Linked DNA regions of Ovis aries. The protein of the gene in region 3 interacts with the protein of the main gene of each other region in a biochemical or structural test. Links are inferred from orthologs where the notes say so. Each region holds a gene or a part of one and is shown on either strand. Other genes may lie near its edges.

Evidence for each region. The genes of interacting proteins can lie anywhere in the genome.
Region 1: the proteins of complement factor H-like (region 3) and PTX3 form a complex in vitro, tested with the Homo sapiens proteins (3 studies listed by IntAct, with this or other methods). The link is inferred for Ovis aries from reciprocal best matches to the Homo sapiens genes CFH and PTX3.
Region 2: the proteins of complement factor H-like (region 3) and CRP form a complex in vitro, tested with the Homo sapiens proteins (12 studies listed by BioGRID and IntAct, with this or other methods). The link is inferred for Ovis aries from reciprocal best matches to the Homo sapiens genes CFH and CRP.

What each region holds. Positions count from the first base shown.
Region 1 is NC_056054.1:230,869,144-230,875,423, reverse strand, and holds the start of PTX3 (pentraxin-related protein PTX3), read left to right. Parts: upstream 1-2,320; 5' UTR 2,321-2,411; coding exon 2,412-2,541; intron 2,542-2,948; coding exon 2,949-3,353; intron 3,354-6,280.
Region 2 is NC_056054.1:110,719,275-110,725,657, forward strand, and holds the start of CRP (C-reactive protein), read right to left. Parts: upstream 3,961-6,383; 5' UTR 3,856-3,960; coding exon 3,792-3,855; intron 3,555-3,791; coding exon 2,944-3,554; 3' UTR 1-2,943. UniProt on the Homo sapiens protein: Displays several functions associated with host defense: it promotes agglutination, bacterial capsular swelling, phagocytosis and complement fixation through its calcium-dependent binding to phosphorylcholine.
Region 3 is NC_056065.1:5,715,570-5,721,864, reverse strand, and holds the start of complement factor H-like, read left to right. Parts: upstream 1-2,215; 5' UTR 2,216-2,286; coding exon 2,287-2,344; intron 2,345-6,295. UniProt on the Homo sapiens protein: Glycoprotein that plays an essential role in maintaining a well-balanced immune response by modulating complement activation.

The DNA.
Region 1 (6,280 bases), on a different chromosome or scaffold from region 3:
GGTATATTTATAGTATTAGGTATTAGGTATATTAGGTATAGTATTAAGTATTTATAGTATTAGGTATATTAGTATTTACAGTATTAGGTATATTCATAGTATTAGGTATATTTTACATTACAGGTGCTTTTTGGAGAAAGAAATGGCAACCTACTCCAGTATTCCTGCCTGGAGAATTCCATGGGCAGAGAAGCCTGGTGCGCTACAGTCCGTGGGGTTGCAAGAGTCTGACGTGACTTAGCAACTAAACCACTGCCACATGTGCTTTCTTTTTATCTTGCTTTGTCTATCCTTTTCTTCCCTTCTTTACTACTTCCTATTAAACAGCTCGTTTTTTTTTTTTTTTTAATTCACTCTATTCCTTCTATTTGGTCATTTTATTTCCTCTTGGTTTTGGTGGCTGTCATTTGAAAGATAAACATACTTGAACTAACAAAGAAAAATTAACTTTGCTATCCGGAACAATGAAAGGACATTAGAATTATTTTCTTAGATCTTTCTTCCAGTTCCTTAATATTCTTTTCAGCTTTGCCAATCCTTTAATTTCTTAAAAATTTCAATTAATTTTTTAACTCAAGGTTATATTTGAGTCTTTAAATAATAGGCCTATTTTTCTTCTTTTGACAGTGTCTTTTTCATTTTTCAGGTTTCCAGTTCTTTCAAACACACTTATTTTCCAGTTTCTAGCTGATATTTTAAATAAATGAAATTCTTGAGGGAGGGGTGTCCAATCCCTTTTGGTTTCTGCTGGTTCTCATTTATGGTAGATTGTTTAATCCTATGTTTAAATATTTTTTATTATGAATTTTCACTGTGGCAGATAGTACACATTTGCTTCTCGAACATGTATAAGGGCAGGCCCAAAGTCGCAAACTCTTAGGGACCTTGTAGAGTTCAGTCAAAGAGAGACAGGCTTACTTCTCTCTTTTCTGTGCTAGGGTAAGGACTGGGGCTATATCTATTGAAATCTAGTCAGTTAACTCCCCACCCAGACCTAAGCCTTGTGGCCCTTAACACTTGGTTAACACAGAACTGAAACATCTCTTCCCCCTTCACCTCCCCTGATGTGTGTGCGTGCGCGTGTGTGTGTGTGTGTGTGTGTGTGTGTGTGTGTGTGTAGGGGGGCTCTAGATTCAGCTCATGGGCTCACTGACCAGTTTTTGGTTCCCTCTCTTTGGGTAGGTGGCATTAGTGGTAAAGAACCCACCTGCCGATGAAAGAGACATAAGAGATGTGGGTTCAATCCCTGGGTCAGGAAGATCTCTTGGAGAAGGGCATGGCAACTCACTCCAGTATTCTTGCCTGGGAAATTCAATGGACAGAGGAGACTAGCGGGGCTGCAGTCCATAGGGTCACAAAGAGTTGGACATGACTGAAGCGACTTATCACCCTTGGCCTCTGGATATTGTCCTTACTTTATTGGGAACTTATTTGTATATTTAAAGTTTTTAATTATTATTCAAATGTAAACACATTTCTAGTTTGGTTTTTTTTTTTTCAGCTTATATAGATCTCCATATACTGACAGAAGCGGGAATCCCTAAATTTACTTTAAAAACATGATCTTTGACTCTGAGCCTAGTGAAATAAGATACCCACATAATAGATTATGAAAAGAAACACACCTAAAAAGTCAGTTTATTCCTTTCCCCCGACTTCTCCTTATTTTCGGTTTACTGGTTTTGCTGTGCTTCTCATTAAAAAGTATGTTTATAAAAGTATAGTTGTAACTCCAGAAGGATTAAAGATGGAATGACTTGAAATGGATTTGGATTATAGAACCGTACAAATTCTTACTGTGTTGGTTTATCTTGAAATCAGAAAGTAACTTTCACATCTTAGACCTGTAAAACTGTACAAAGAAAAAGTGAAAAAATGTTTTCTATGTGTAAAGGGTTGTGAAATAATGAGAGCGCACACAAAATGCTGGGATGATGCTCTTGTTTTCACACCTCTATGCCTGCTGAATCTATTCCCCTAAATCTCTATTCCCCTAATCCCTCTCCTCTCCCTCTCATCCTTCAGTACTACCAATTCAAGTTACAACAGCTAATCCCCAGGGGGAAACAGTCCTAGCCTTGTCTTCCCCTTTCTTTCCCCTCTGACACTCCTCCAATTAATCTGACTGTACTGTAAACCTTTGCGGTTTACTATTGTGCAACGTCCCCCGTCCCCCACATCTCCTTCACCCTCCTTTCCCCCAGCCCCCTCCCCCACAAATCTGGGGAAATCCCGTTAAGGCAGTGCCACTGGCATTACTCATTCATCCCCATTCAGACTTTCCCCAGCATTTATTAAGGGCCCTCAGCTCCTGCCTCTCACTCGCACTCTCCTCCGCTCCTCCTGCACTCTGAGAGCCTCTTGCCTCGTCCCCTCCCGACAGCGGTGGGAAGAACGTCGTCTCTCCAGCAATGCACATCTCTGTGATTCTGTTTTGTGCTCTCTGGTCTGCAGTGTCGGCGGAGAACTCAGATGATTATGAGCTCATGTATGTGAATTTGGACAACGAAATAGACGATGGACTCCATCCCACCGAGGACCGTAAGTTCGTTTTAACTCTTTCTCTGCTAACCCTTAACTACATATCTACCTCCTTAGGTCTAAGTATTATACATATATTCTGTTGCCAATGCAATAAACAACAATAACCAAAAAAGAGTTTTGCCAAAGAGAAAAGCACGTCAGGAAAGGAGGTTTCATAAAGTTACTTCTCTCAGATACGTAATGGGCCGAACTGTATGAAATCGCCGGTATTCGCCTGTTCTGAGAGAATTGCCATGAACGGCAATTTCATCGAGTTCGGCTTATAAAACTTGCAAGGTTTCCTTAAAGGGAAGGGGGTCCTGGGGACGGGCTGTCACTTGGCGACCATCGAGGGAGGTCGGCATTTTACAAAGAACACCCGAGGGAGGGTCAGGTCTGTAATGCGTGTATATTCCCCACTCTAGCCACGCCGTGCGACTGCAGTCGTGAGAACTCCGAGTGGGACAAGCTCTTCACCATGCTGGAGAACTCGCAGATGCGGGAGGGCATGCTGCTGCACGCCACCGAAGCCGTGCTCCAGGGAGAGCTGCAGAAGCTGAGGGCCGAGCTGGGCCGGCTGGCGGGCAGCCTGCAGAGCCTGTGCGCGCCGGAGGCCCCCGCCGAAGCCAGGCTGGCCCGGGCGCTGGACGAGCTGCTGCAGGCGAGCCGCAATGCTGGCCGCCGGCTGGCACGACTGGAAGAGGCCTGGGCGCCGCGGCCGCAGGAGGAGGCGGGGCGGGCCCTGGGCGCGGTGCTGGAGGAGCTGCGGCGGACGCGGGCCGACCTCCGAGCTGTGCAGGGCTGGGCAGTCAGCCGCTGGCTGCCGGCAGGTAAGGACGCGGGGACTGGTGGGGACCCCTGCGCGGCTTCGTTCTCAAAGTGCGAGTTGCGGGAAACCGAGTCAGCCAACCAAGCCTCTAAGGGCAGGCTTTAGTGTGAGGAAACATACCGGCTCACACCCTTCTGTTTCGGCATGCGCGGTCACAGAGCTCAGATACATCATAAAAGGAGGGAAAATTGCTTTCAAAAGTAGTCAGTCTTCAGTCCCGAGGAACCCTGAAGATAGCTGTGTAGGTAACCATCACAGTATTGAAATAGACCTCAAGGGCCTCCAGACTGACACTTGATCGGACCAGGCGTTAGAGAAACTCTATTGGCGAGTTATAAGAGTGACTGCTCTCAATGTCCAGCTTCCCTCCGTTAGGGATTTCCACTTCTTCTAATATTAGCCTGCCTCTCTCTTTAAGGGAGCTCTGGTTCCCCGCGCTATTTCAGGACCCAGCCTAATTTTTAGGAAAGTTTTCCAGTCCCTGGCTGGCCCCTTCTCCCTACCAGTTCTAAACAAGAGACTTGAGGTTGAATCTGATCTCCCAAGGGCCCCTGCCCCGAGCCCCCTGGGTCTGTGAAATAAGCTCCAGAGTGAGCTCCAAGAGTGTGAAGTTTGGAATAAACCAGCAGCTGAGGGATCCACAGTGGGACAGTCAGATGTAGGAGGTAGTTGGCATCCAGGCAGTTCCTCCGGAGTTGTGGAGGATCAGGGTGAAACAGAAGAGAAGCAGTTCAAACCAGATGCAACCTGTCCAAGTCCCATGTGATACTAGTGAACTTCCAAACATATGTGGGCCTGAAACAATACATTTTAAAGATGCCTCAAGGAAATATAGAGAAGGTTTGGAGCGAAGAACACTCCTTTACAAAAAGTCAGACTTTCTAAGAAATGGTGCTATAACAATCATTTGTGGGTTATATTAGAAAATCCGTGTTCTAGGTAAGAAAATATAACATACACTTTTCCCTGTTCATAAGCAACTTATGAACAAAAAACAATTACACCCTTCGTTATGTCCAATAAAGCAACTCTTACTATATGGGGTAGGAGGCAGAATCAAGCATATGTGAGAGCATATTTCATTTAAAATTTCAGATTTATACCAAAATACCAGTCTTTCCTAAATAATTGAGAACTGTTTATCAGTACAAACCATGTTTTTTAAAGAAGGGCTTCAGAGGGGGGAAAATCATAAAATAAACATACCATAGATCCTTAGTGTAAGTGACAGGACAAACTATAATTCTCTGGCAGTTTTAATGGATGAAATTTCTTGTCTTTTGCAAATCACGTAAAATCACTGTACATATCATGTACTGGGAAAACTGAAGAGTTATGCTAACTTTCACCTCCACCTCTGCATACCAGTTAGAGCAGAAGAAGGATGTATTTCTGAATTCAAAAGTGTTAATTCTCTTTTTTAAATTTTATTTTATTTATTTTTTGTTAATTCTTATTACATCCATTCATACATTTACCCACATGCTTTGATTTTTCCTCTCTTGGTTTCCTGCCAGCTTGGCTCCTAAGGGATTCCTAATCATTCTGTTGTCAGCCTCTTAAGAACCTGGTTTTAATTCTGTTTGGTCTTTGATAATATAATCAGAAAAAAACCTATTAGTTAAAAGCCATTTCATGAGAGAGTTTCTGACATTTTAAAGCCATATCAAGGGTCTCAATCACCGACCCCCAAAAGAAGCCACAGAAAAAACTTGCCAACATGCAGTTCTACTCATTGAACCTACATAACCAGCGCAGCCCAGAGGGGAAGCTGGGTCTCTGAGAGGCAATCAAGGAAGGCTTTGGAATGTAATCCTGACTGACTGGGCTTATTAAACAGGAAATCAGTTAATTAGATTGCAGTAGGCGCTCTCTCTGAACACTGTTTTACTGAAACATTAGACAGTATCTAAAATGCCCAAGCATATGGTGATCTTTTGTTCCATGATCTTTGTTTGATTTAAATGACAGGTAGAAGAGTATGCATCTACCAATTTCATTTTCAAAAAGAATCAATGCCTCATTAAAAATTGATTTAAAAAAATCTTTAGAAATTCAAATTATTCAGGGAAAAAGTTAATACCAAAGTATGGCAGGACCAATTTTGTGCTTTAGTGTGATGGTTACTTTTATAGGATTTTCTGAACCTCAATATCTTCTTTGACTATTTCAAAAGGATAAGGTCCATGTGCTTAATTTTTCTGGGTTGGAGCCCACCTCTCAGCCACTTGTAGATGGTTAACTTAGTCTATCACACTACACATGGACATTTGGTTCCTGCAAGTCTTGTTTACCACTTAGTCTTCAAATGCTCTGGGAATTTGCTTTTTAAAGCTATCTTATGGTAAATCTTCTTTAAAGGTTGTTATAAAGTGAATACTTAGCCCTAATTTTTGCTGTTGTTTAGTCACTAAGTCATGTCCAACTCTTTTGCGACCCCATGGACTGTAGACCACCAGGCTTCTCTTTGAGATTTCCCAGGCAAGAATATACTGGACTGGGTTGCCATTTCCTTCTCCAAGCCCTAACAGATTTTTTAAAAATTCTTTAATTGGTCTTATATATGTATATATTTGAGTTCAGCACAAGGTAGAGCTCACTTATTAAAGCTTTTAGCTTTAAGACCTGAAAGGTCTTCACTTCAGCATCTGCAGCTCCCTGACTGGCCATGTGACCTGGAGATGGACAGAGGTGGGAGCTCCCACCTCTCATGTTTGAAAGTCTCCTTCTAAGTGTGTATTAGTGGAAATATGTCCTCCATCCAGCCCCTTAGAAAAATTCACTCTTCCTTAAAGATTTTCTGTTAGGGCTTACATAGTACTTGTAAGCATTTGGACAAAGTGAGAATTTTTAAGCATATCTTTGGTCTACAAAGTATTCCCTGGTGGCTTAGAGGTAAAGTCTCTGCTTGCAATGTGGGAGACATGG
Region 2 (6,383 bases), on a different chromosome or scaffold from region 3:
CCAGAAATGCTTTATTGAGATTTTTAAATGTTCACTGAATGCAAATACCAGCTTTAAAAATTTCCCTGGCTAAAATGATCAGGACCAGAGGGTGTCCACTAAACTATGTGTGGCAAGGTACCAGTAATTGAATTCTGAGAAAAATATTAGCTCAGCCCACATCCCTGGGGAGTTGGGATAGCCTTCTATAATTAAGACATAACTCCTGAATGGATTCTTTAACTAGGGGGAAAAAAAAATCAACCCTTCCTTCTTCTTAACTGAATGTCAGGGTATATGGATCTGCCCTAATTAGACAACAAAAAATATTTGCACTCACATATTTACCCAGGAAAACATATCCTTAACTTCTCTTTTTTTTCCACATTTTTAAAATTTATTTATTTGTCTATGTTGTGCAGCATGTGGGATCTCAGTTCCCCAACCAGGGATCAAAGCTGAGACCCCTACATTGGAAGTGCAGAGTCTTAACCACTGGACCGCCAGGCAAGTCCTTACCCTTAACTTCTATGCTTTCAAATGGTTACCAAAAGTCAATTAGGGGAATCAATGTTCATAAATCAACACTCATAAATTTATCATTCTAATATTCTGAGTTTAATTTTTGGTTAAGATTCAGACCTTTCAACTGCAATCAACCCAGACTAATTCCACCAAATTGTGTTTCAATGGTATATAATCCACCTTTGATTGCGGACAGCATACAAAGTTCAGTTCAGTCGCTCAGTCATATCCAACTCTTTGTGCCCCATGGACTCAGCAGGCCAGGCTTTTCTGTCCATCACCAACTTCCAGAGCTTGCTCAAACTCATGTCGATTGAGTTGGTGATGCCATCCAGCCATCTCATCCTCTGTCATCCCCTTCTCTTCAATAATAATAATAGCAGATAACTATCCTGAGAGTTTACTATGTGCCAGGCACTACCCTAAAGTGCTCTATACGCATGATCTCACTTGATCCTTTCAACAGCTCTTTGAGCTAATTACTATTATTTCTCCTCACTTTATAGACAAGAAAACCAAGACAAAAAGTCACATAGTAAGTTGTAAAGCCAGGATTTAAACCTAGGCAGGGTGATTCCAGAAACTTTATGTTTAACTAGTCTACTGTATGCCTTCCCCAAAGTAGCTATTTGATACATAGTCACAGGGCTAGTTCATACTTTAGTGTGACTTCTGTGGGGTAATTTCAACAGCTCACTTAGTACTAAAAAGCCAAGGTGAAGGACACCTTTGGAAGAAACCAGCAGCCATCACCCTTGGGGGGTCTTTCTCTACAAGGGACTTAAGCAGCTTGGAAAGTGCATTCCAGCCATTGAAACTGACAGCAGATTCTTGGATGTCAATGAGCTTTAGTTTTTGTTCCTCATATTGGAGTAATAACACAGTGAGTTTTTTTAACTGAAGTATAGTTGCAGTACTATATTATATGCTACAGGTGTACAATATAATGACTTACAATGTCTAGAGGTTATACTCCATTTATAGCTACTATAAAATATCAGCTATATTCCTCATGTTGTACAATATATTCTTGTAGCTTATTTTATACAAAATAGTTTATACCTCTTACTCTCTAGAGTGAGAGTTTTACACCCCCACAACTGGCCTCACACAAATTACCAGCTATCACAAAAGAGGGGTTGCGCTCGACAGAAAAAAATCCCTATGGGAGGTTGGAGAGCCATTAGCTATGTCACTGCAAGACAGGTAATGGTTCATCTGAACTCACAGGGACTTGGTTTCAGAAGATTGTTAGAAAAGTTAGTCACCACTTGAAATACAACCATCAGATAACAGCTCAGGTTCACTAATATAAACAGGGGCTTTACTGGTTCATGAACATGAGAGGTTCAGGTGTAGATCTGGTTCCAGGCAAAGCAGATCCAGAAATTCAAACAGTCCAGTCAAGGCTCCACTGCTCTGTCAATTCCTCAGCTCTGCTGACCACAGCTTGGCCTCTTTCCTCACAGTCTTTCTCCATGTGGTAGACAAGATGGCTGCTGACAGTCTCAGGCTAATACCCTCTCAGATGGGAATTCCAGCAGAAAGATGTCTCACTCCCAGAGTTCATAAATCAGTCCTGGGAAAGACTATAATGTGTCCAGCTAGGAGCATGTAACCATCCCGCCATCCTAAATCTCCAAACAAGTTTTGGCTACTCTGATAGTTCAGTGTGAGTCACACCCACTCTGTGGCCTGGCTATGTTGGGGAAACAGGTGGGGATGCACCGTCCCATGTGGTTCAGATGGTGTTTGAGAAGAGTTCCCCAAAAGAACCACAAAATGAAGAAATCACTGTGAGCAAACAAAAACATGGCTATGTAAACGCTTGGCAATAACAATTAAAGTAACTAACTAGATGCCTCCACTTTGCCCATGAAAAAATATAGGTTTTCTGTATTGGGCCTTTCTGATTGCCCTTCCAGGGTACTTTGCATCACTAGGTTTCCCATTTCAGAAGACCTGGGCCAGTGTCAGAACTCTGACACTGAAGAGCCCTGTGAAGATGAGGAAGACTCTCCTACTTTCTGGGGGGTTCTTAGTAGGAAATTAGATATGAGACCAGCACTCCCTACTCAGCCCAAAGATTCACCTTTTGACTTAAAAAAAAAAAAATCACTTCTCCTTGCTGGGTCCTAATCTTCTTATCTAAGTGAGGGTAAGGGATTATCTCTAAAATAATCTAAGATAATCAATTTAAAAAAAAAAAAAAAAACAGGAAATCCCAAAGCATCTGCAATCCTGACCTTGTGGGCAAAGCTTTCCAATCTCCCAAGCCAGATACTTAAAAATTCCATCTGGTGTTAAGGAAGGTAGAGCAGGGAAGCAAAAGCCTGTGTTCACAGAGCAGGCCTGCAGCGGTGTGTACAGGGGTGGGGAGGTCCAGAGCCATAGGGTGGAATTGCCAGGAAGCACTTCCAGGACCACAGCCCAACCTCACTACCACAGCTGAGGCTTAATGAACACCTCACCCTTTGCTTCATAGTTCAGCGCCTTCCAGTTAAGGACATTAGGACTGAGGTTCCCACCAATATAGACAGTGTTAATCTCTTCCGGCGACAGCACAAAGTCCCACATGTTCACATCTCCAATGTCTCCCACCAAACACTGGTTTCTATCAAAGCCCCCAGCGAACGCATCCTGCTCCTGCCCCAGGATGATGCTGGCGTCTTTCCCCAGAGAGGCTCCCTTCTCCAGACTCTTCCTCACCCGGGGTTTCCCATTCACCCAGAGCTCTGCAATTCCGGAGGTGGACTCCCAGCTGGCACAGATGTGTGTTGGAGCTTGAGTATTTTCGAAACTCTGGAATGATACCTCCTTCCCATGTACTCCAAAAGTATAGCCTCTACCCTTAGACCAAAATATGAGGATCTCGTTAGGTTGCTGCCTGGTGGCATAAGAGAAAATGCTGTAGCTGCGGGTTCGGGCCAGCTCTGTGTAGAAATAGAGACACACGGTGAAGGCTTTGAGTGGGGTCTCTAACTGTGTTTTCAGAGATACGTAGGAATTCTCCGTCTCTTTGGGAAACACGAAGGCCTTCTTATGCAAGTCTGTGAGACAGAAAGCAGAGGAGAGGTGAGAAGTTTCTCAGATCACAAAGATCTATTCCTGCATAAATAGAGTTTGGGATTGAGAAATAGACTGATTTTTCCTCAGTGTCATACACACACACAGACATACACACACTCACCCATGCTGGATGTCCCTCTGACTTCACCTTGTATAATCTTAGGCCCCACTCCTATCACTCAAATCAAATACTTGGCACATCCTGGAGTAGCCCCTACCTGTCTGGCCCAAAACACTAGAGAAGCCGACCAAGGCCAGGAAGCACCACAACAGCCTCTCCATGGTCAGTCTATGCCTCCAATACTTCTAGCATCTGGATTCACCCTTCTGGAGAAGATGTCTTTGGCTGAAAGCTCAGCAACCAGAAGTCCTAGATTCTTTGCCTCTAGACCTGCTCCATCCTGCATGGATTTATATCCAAGGCAGTGGGGGAGTCTGTGCCACCACGTAAATGATTTTCCAATACTAGCTTTCTCAGCAAGTGTCAGGGCTCTGGAAATAAGGGAAGCAAAATAATTCTGGAACAGAGAAATCAATGTTGGTTATTTATTACAAGCTCCTGTGACTATGAGATCACCAATTCTTTGTGACAGGAAAAATGAAGAAGCTCTCTGAGAGTTCCACTTGGGTATTTATCTTGAGAAAATAATTTAAAAAATCTTAATAGAAGCATGGCCATCTGAGAACATATCATAGTGCATCTCTAGCACCCACTTCAGCCCGAGTCTTGGTGTTTCATGGAGGATAGCTTCTGGAGATGAACATCATTGCCAACCCTTTTCAGATGCCTCCAGTTCACAAATTGGGTAATACCAAAAACAAACATGTCATCCACAGAGCCAAGGACAATTTTTTCTTTGTCAGCTGAGTTTCATTGCAAGGAAATCTCTGGTCCAGTGAAACATGTGCCTGATCACAAACGTACCATATGTCAGAGTTTCTTCATGTCAAGATTCAGGGAGGAATCAAGATGATGCACCCAGTCCTTCAGTTGTGTCCGACTCTTTGCTACTCTATAGACTGCATCCCACAGTCCTATGGATGCATGAAGGTGAAGGTGAAGTTGCTCAGTCATGTCCAACTCTTTGCGACCCCATGGACTGTAGCCTACCTGGCTCTTCCATCCATGGGATTTTCCAGGCAAGAGTACTGGAGTGGATTGCCATTTCTTTCTCCAGAGGATCTTCCTGACCCAGGGATCCAACCCAGGTCTCCCGCATGGTAGGCAGACACTTTACCATCTGAGCCACCAGGGAAGTCCATAGAAAATCTCTATGGACTCCTCTGTCCATGGGATTTTCCAGGCAAGAATACTGGAGTGGGTTGCTATTTCCTTCTTCAAGGGATCTTCCTGACCCAGGGATCAAACCCACACCCCTTGTATCTCCTGCATTGGCTGGGAAGCCAGTCTTACTATGGGTCTTTATTTAATCCAGTCTTCAAATGGCTATTTAGCTCCTCCTCTCTCTTCAAACCCCCAGAATCTCATCCATTCTTATGTGCAGCAATCACAGCTCTTTACTGAGAAATTAGAAGAAAGCCACTGTATTTCTTGTAGCAGAGGCTTCTGGCAGCTGCACGATACCCATTCTCCACTTCTCATCCAGTAAGAACAGGTTGGTTGAGCACACGGTCACCTACTCAAATACTAAACTTCCCAGCCTCCTCTGCAGTTAGGAGTGAGAATGTGATTACATTCTGGCCAATGACATGTGAACAGAAGGAATAAGGACATTTTCCAGGTTGCCCCCTTTAAAGACTTCTCTTGTGCTCTTCCTTTCCACTTACCCTCTGCCTTCTATCTAGTATTCAGACATAATAATAGGAGCTAGAGTATCACTTCTCGACCACCATAGGTGAGATGCACATTTGAGGTTGCAGATAGATGGAGCCTGGATAATTGACTATGGAATCACTGCATCAGCTCTAGACTAACTACCCCAACATCCCAACATTTCCTTGAAGGAGACATACTGTCTTTTGTTAAATCAAAACTATTAATGTGGTCTTCCTGCTATAAAATCCAAACTGATATCTTTACACATCCTCCCATCTCCAAATCTACCAGCCTTTCTGAATCTTTACTTACATATACTGCCTCCCTCTTATGACAAAGGATGAACTGTCTGTCTATATCTAAGGGCAACCTTTATACTTCTGCAAAGGATCCCAGACCCTCTTAATCACTCAGAGTTTTGCTTCCATCAGTATCCTATCTTTTGCATCATTAATTTCTTCATCTTTACTCAATCATTCCCCAAACCAGACAAACATGCTGTAATATATTTAATCTTTTACAGAAAGGAGAAAAGAAGGGAGGAAGGATCCCACATGTCAGGCATCCCAAGATTCCACACTTCTTCAGCTACTGTTCATCATTTCTGCTCTCATTTACTGGAAAACTCCTGGAAAGGGTTTTGTGTACTGACAATCTCTGTTTCCCCATCTCCTGTTTTCTCCTCAATCCATGCAAACAAGACTTTGGCCTCCACCACTTCAGCAAAACGAACGTAAGCAAAAATCTCTTCCTTGTTAAACTTAATCATTGATTTCTGGCTTGACTTCTCATCAACAACTGACAACAGCTATGTGCCAGAATGCTTGAATACTGGCACATAGATTTTTTTTTAAGTGAAATGGTTTTAAAGTTCTCTGCCTAACAGAAGTGGTCCTCCCTTTCCCCTCTCTCCATCCTTGACTCCCAGGTGGAACTAAGAGATGGCAGAGCCTTCAAGGACATTGCTTGAGTCTCTCAATCTAGTCTTACTAGTTTCACCTCAGGTCCTCTGAAGTGAAGTCTATTAGCCAAT
Region 3 (6,295 bases):
TCCCATGGAGGGTAGCCTGCCAAGCTTCTCTGTCCATGGTATTTCCCAGGCAAGAATAGTGGAGTAAGTTTCCATTTTCTTTCCAATACATCTATACAATTACTCTATAATCAAGATGTAGAATATTTTCATCATCCCAAATGTTCCTTCATGCCTTTTGAAGTCTCTCCATGTTCCATAACTACACTATTTCTTTTTGGAGTGGAGGTTTGTGTTCAATGAGAAATGAACGTTTGAAGAAAAACAATAACTTTTTTAAAAAATATAAATTTATTTATTTTAATTGGAGGTTAATTACTTTACAATATTGTATTGATTTTGCCATACATCAACATGAATCTGCCACAGGTAACTTTATCTTTTTCTTTTTTTCAACATTCTTTTATTGATAAACATTTAAACAATCTGTAGTTTTCTTTATGAAAACATAAGTTGTATGGAAATTTTAGCTTATGGAAATGTCCACAACTATTTTTATAGAAGGTATACATAAAAAAAGAAACATTCAAATGTTGAAAGTGAAAATAGCACCCCATTCACAAATTTGTTTAATTTTTCATATAGGATTTCATATTATTCAGTAGAATCTAGTATGACCAATACCCCAAATTCTTGTGTTTGGGGATAAAAACTCAAGGCTCTTTCAAGTCCTTTTGATTTGAGACATAAGGTGTGTCCTCTGGATTGGATTTTGACTTTTAACTTTACATTTTATTCTGAAAATGGTAATTTTTAAGGCAACGTTAAACATAGAAATAGCTAAACACCTAAAGTTAATCTTAACGTGATTGATAATTTTTTTAACACACATGTATGCCTGTGTAACTACTACCCAGGACTAAATTGAGTAAATGTCCAACACAACCTCAGGTTTCCTTGTGTCTCATCCCATTCTGTACCACACGTTACACCACCTTCATGATGAGGTTTTCAACCTTTCGAAAGCCTACCAATGAAATTATAAGATATGTACTTAGTGAGTGTGTTTGATTTTTTTCCATTTACAAGAGCTGTGAGATTATCCCAAACCACTCTCTATCATTTTCTAAATTAGTGCGTATTAATCAGTCATATGAAAATGCTACAAATGTTTTATCCATTTTCTCAATGTTCATGGGAACAATTGCATTTTTGCCATTTATGAATAAAGCTGCAATGAACAATTCTGTATGTGTCTTTTTAAGGGATGCACTCCAGATCCTCTGGTGAGGGAGAGGTTAAGGGGAGAAACTTCCAGGTGCAAGATAGATGAGTCATAAACATGAAATATTCAGTGCGGAGCATTTAGTCAATAATTATGCAATTTTTAAAATCTTGCTAGATTGTAACTAGACTTACTGTGGCAATTATTTTGAAATGGACAGAAACATGGAATCACTACACTATGTAACAGAAAGTAACAGAATGTTGTAGGCCAACTGTACTTAAAAGAACAAACAAATACTTTGAAAAATAAATCTCATTTGTGATTACCATAGGCTAGGCCTGGAGATAGGGGAACTGGATGAAGCCAGTCAAAAGGTACCAACTTCCTGCTGTGAGATAGATTAGTACTAAGAATGTAGTGTACAACATGATTAATATGACTAATTCTGCTGTATCTTAAGTATGAAAGTTAATAGGATGGTAAGTCCTGAGTTCTCATCACAAATTCTTTTTTCTTTACTTTTATATCTGTATGAGATGATGGCTATTCACAAACCTTATTGTTGCAATCATTTCAGGATATATGTAAATTACATCATTAGGCCATACACCTGAAACTTATGCGGTGCTTTATGTCAATTACATGCTAACAACATTAGGAAGTTGATCATCATAGAACCCATACATAAATAGCACGCAAGTGAAGGGATTGTGCTATAATTTATATGACTGTTTTTAAGCTCTACTATAATTTTTTTTTAATTTATTCACTTTCCCCAGTCCATGAAAATATGGATGACCCAAATGGCTGGTAAAAACTTCACCTACTGTCTTGAAATATATTATTGAAAGTTAGTATCTGATATATGGCTTTGGAGCTAGTCCATATCAGCCACAGAAAGTTGTGCACATAGATATCAGGTGGTGAATACAATGACTTATTGGGAAACTACCAACAGAAACAAGGTAGGGACATTTCAAAACTTTGAACTTTGATATTTACTAAATGGCACTAATTAACCAACTTCATTGTAACGCATAAATTCAGTCACACTAGGTAACTGCAAATGAAGCAGATTTTTGAACCCTAAACAGTGCAACTGGAGTATTTGTGTGAATGTACCATTGGGAAAATCTAACATGTTGTTGTTAATCAATGTCCTTCTCACCTTGTGGTTTTACACTGTTCATGGACAGGGTAAGTTGAAACCGATGTGAACACTCAGCCTTCCTTCTAAATATAACTATCTACTTTCCTTTGTGTGTATTTTTGATTGAATAAACTGGTTAAAATAGTCTGCACTGTGAGATAACCATAAGAATACCTTAATGGAAAAATGATCAGACATTCACCTAAAAGGGGAAAACAAAATGAATACTTTTCTATGTCATCTGAGTTCCACAGTGCAAAAAGGTACTCTATGTAGATTATGGGGTCATGTGAATATGCTCATGAAAATGTGAATAGAAAATGTGTCACAGGAAAGTAGATTATAATTCCAGAATGTTTAGGAGAGTCGTACTTGTAATATGAGAAAGCTCTGGAGAACAATGGTTATTTTTATACTTTTACATATGGTGATTTTTGCAGGTTCAAATCTCATTTTAAATATATTCAGTTGACTGTATTGTGATTATAGCTTAATAAATCTATTAAAGGTCATTAACATCACTGTTAGTTTTTAAAAACCAGCGTAGGTACAAGATATATTTTCCTTTTACAAAATGTGAAAGACAGTCTTAATTTCCAGTGTAGTGCCAATATATTTAGAATTCTTTTCAGAGAGAAATGTAAATGTTGACAACCTTAAAAAAATTGTCACTTTTATTTTTAAACTTACCAGTTGTTTTCATTAGTTATCTATTTTTTACACTCTCCCAATTCATCCCTCTACTCTTGGGCCCCCTTGTATCTATACATCCATTCTCTATGCCTGTATCTCTATTTTTGCTTTGCAATAAGTTCATCCGTAGCATTTTTTAGATTCCATTTATAAACAATATTATACAATATTTATTTTTCTCTTTCTGACTTGCTTCACTCTATGTGGCAGTCTCTGGGTCTATCCATGTCTCTGCAAATTGTGCAATTTCATCGCATTTTATGGCTGAGTAATATTTCACTGTGTATATGTACCACTTCTTCTGCATCTGTTCTTCTGTTGATGGACATTTAGGTTGATTCCATGTCCTGGCAGGTGTGGATAAAATAGATAACTAAGGAGAACTTACTGTGTATCATAGGCAGCTCCACTCAATGCTCTCTGGTGACCTAAATGGGAAAGAAATCCAAGAAAAGGGGATATATATATATATATATATATGTGTGTGTGTGTGTGTGTGTGTGTATTTTCATATAACAGATTCAGATTCACTTTGATGTACAGCAGAAGCTAACCCAATATTTAAAAGCAACTCCAATACAAATGAAAAGCAAAAATCAGCTTATATACATGTATTAATATAGGTAATTAAATCATATTAAAAACCAAGATTTTACTCCAAAATATAAAACTTATATGTTCTTCATTATGATGTTTTTGTCTTTCATTTTCTTTAATAATCCATTTGTCTTCAAGTTTTTATAAATGAAAACTCTAATGAGTTTTAAGATCCCACATGAAATTCAAGATGTGAATAGAATATGCATCATTCTGCATTATTCATCTCATAATTTGTCGCATGCTATTTTAGTCCATTTGGTAATTTTCTTCGTGAACAACATTTGCAACATAATAAAGCTCCCTGTCTAGTCCTTAGTGTTACAATTAAAAGCAGCTCTGGCCCCAGATCACTTATAAGAAAGGCTGTATCACCATTATTCTTGCTGAGGAACAGGCAGACATGAATTGTTTCTCCTGATTCTCAGGTACATGAGTGATGGTTTATTAATCAGCTAGAATAAGATTACTGGAGAAGGCAATGGCACCCCACTCCAGTACCCTTGCCTGGAAAATCCCATGGGCAGATGAGCCTGGTAGGCTGCAGTCCATGGGATCGCTAAGAGTCGGACATGACTGAGCAACTTCACTTTCACTTTGCACTTTCATGCATTGGAGAAGGAAATGGCAACCCACTCCAGTGTTCTTGGCCTGGAGAATCCCAGGGATGGGGGAGCCTGGTGGGCTGCCGTCTATGGGGTCGCACAGAGTCGAACATGACTGAAGCGACTTAGCAGCAGCAGCAGCAGCAGAATAAGACTACAGGCATATTTCCAAACAAGAGGAGAAAGAGTACACAATATGAAAGAGAAATGTGAAACTTTGACAAATCTTCACCAGATATTCCAGTGCAACCCTTCTCTTCTCATTAACAACTGAACTCTTTCCAAAAGTGGTCTTAAAGCTAAATGTTTGAATATTTAAGCAAAGTTTTTCTTCCATAATTTATGGGTGCACTTATGAAATTTTTAGCATGCAAAATAATTGTAATATCAGATTCAAGCCATTAAGTAAAACTCACATCAACTAACACCTATTGTAGATAGATACCTGCATGCCTGCGTGCTAAGTCGCTTCAGTCATGTCTGACTCTTTGCCTCCCCATCGGCTGTAGCCCACCAGGCTTCTCTGTCCATGGGATTTTCCAGGCAACAATACTGGAGTGGGTTGCCATGCCTGCCTCCACGGGATCATCCAAACCCAAGGATCAAACCTGCCTGTACTATGTCTCCTGCATTGGCAGGCGGGGCCCTTGTTTACCACTAGCACCAAGTGGGATGCCCATTATATTAGATACATAGTCCTAATTAACAAATGTTCCAGAAAACACATTGGCTTAAGACAATACACCTCCATATTCGTACAGCTCCTGTGGGTCAAGAATAAAGAAAGGGCTTCGCTGGCTAGTTATGTATTACTCTGTTTGGGAGGCAACTGGGTAATGGCCTGGGCCGCTGTTACCTGGACATTGAGCTGGGCTGGAGGCTTTGCTTCCAAATTGGCTCACTCTCTTGGCTTTTGGGGGAGGCCTCAGCACCTGACCTCGTGGTCATCTGCGCAGGTTGCTTGAGAGATATCTAGCTTTCCTCAGGGCCAGTGACAGCAGACAGGGAGGAGGAAGCCTCCACAGCAGGTATGAGTTTGTCACACTGTCACGTCAGTCATGTGCAATCATGAGAAATGGTCACTAAGTCCTGCACACTCAGTAGAGAGGACTTAGGCTCTAATATTTGGAGAGAGGAGTGTGGAAGGTGTTGTGGACTTTCCTAAAACCATCACATACAGAAAAATGTCAGGTCAACTGAACAGAGTCTTTTCTGGGGATGCTTCCTTTACTTCTCAACTTCTTTCCTGCCTGTTTTGTAACAATACTCTTTTTTCCAACAGTACCTCGTAAAATTTTGGCAAACTTAAACAAGTTATTACAGGAAAGAAAACTGTAACTTTAGAAAACATGTCAGTGACCTTAATAGCAATTGCAAGCATAAATCTAAAATGATTTTTCGAACCACAATTTCTTTTAAAATGAGAGTGTTAACAGTATTAAACAGATTTCAATCCACATAAGAATTATACTAAAGATATTTAAACTTGTTTAAGATGGATTTATGAAAATGGTGCTGTGTGCTTAGTCCCTCAATCTTGTCCAACTGTTTGCAACCCTTTGGACTATAGCCCTCCAGGCTCCTCTGTCCATGGAATTCTCCAGGCAAGATTACTGGAGTGGGTTGCCACTTCCTTCTGCAAGGGAATATGATTGACCCAGGGATCAAATCTGCATCTCCCTTGTTTTCTGCATTACAGGTAGATTCCTTACCCACTGAGCCATAGGGAAAGCCTATGAAAATGGCAGATCAACCCAAATGTATTTACATCACAGCAAAGTTATCCCACAAGGGACCTTGTAAAGTTCATGGAGACAAGATGAGGAAATTGGCCAGTTAAATAGCTTATCAGATATTCATAATTTCATTAAATAAGCTGATTATCAGATGCAGGATTTTGTTCTCAGGCCTGCTCCATTGCTGTTTTGTATCAACAACCAGTTTAATGGAGCAAAGGAGATGTGCCTGGAATGATCCTGAGGTACTGAAAGTGAACCCACATTAGGACAGGTTCATCACTCAGAAAGATGCCCATGTGTGAGGTTGGACTCAATAACATGATATTTAGCTGTGATAATTGTAAGATCCTGGGCCTGGACCATA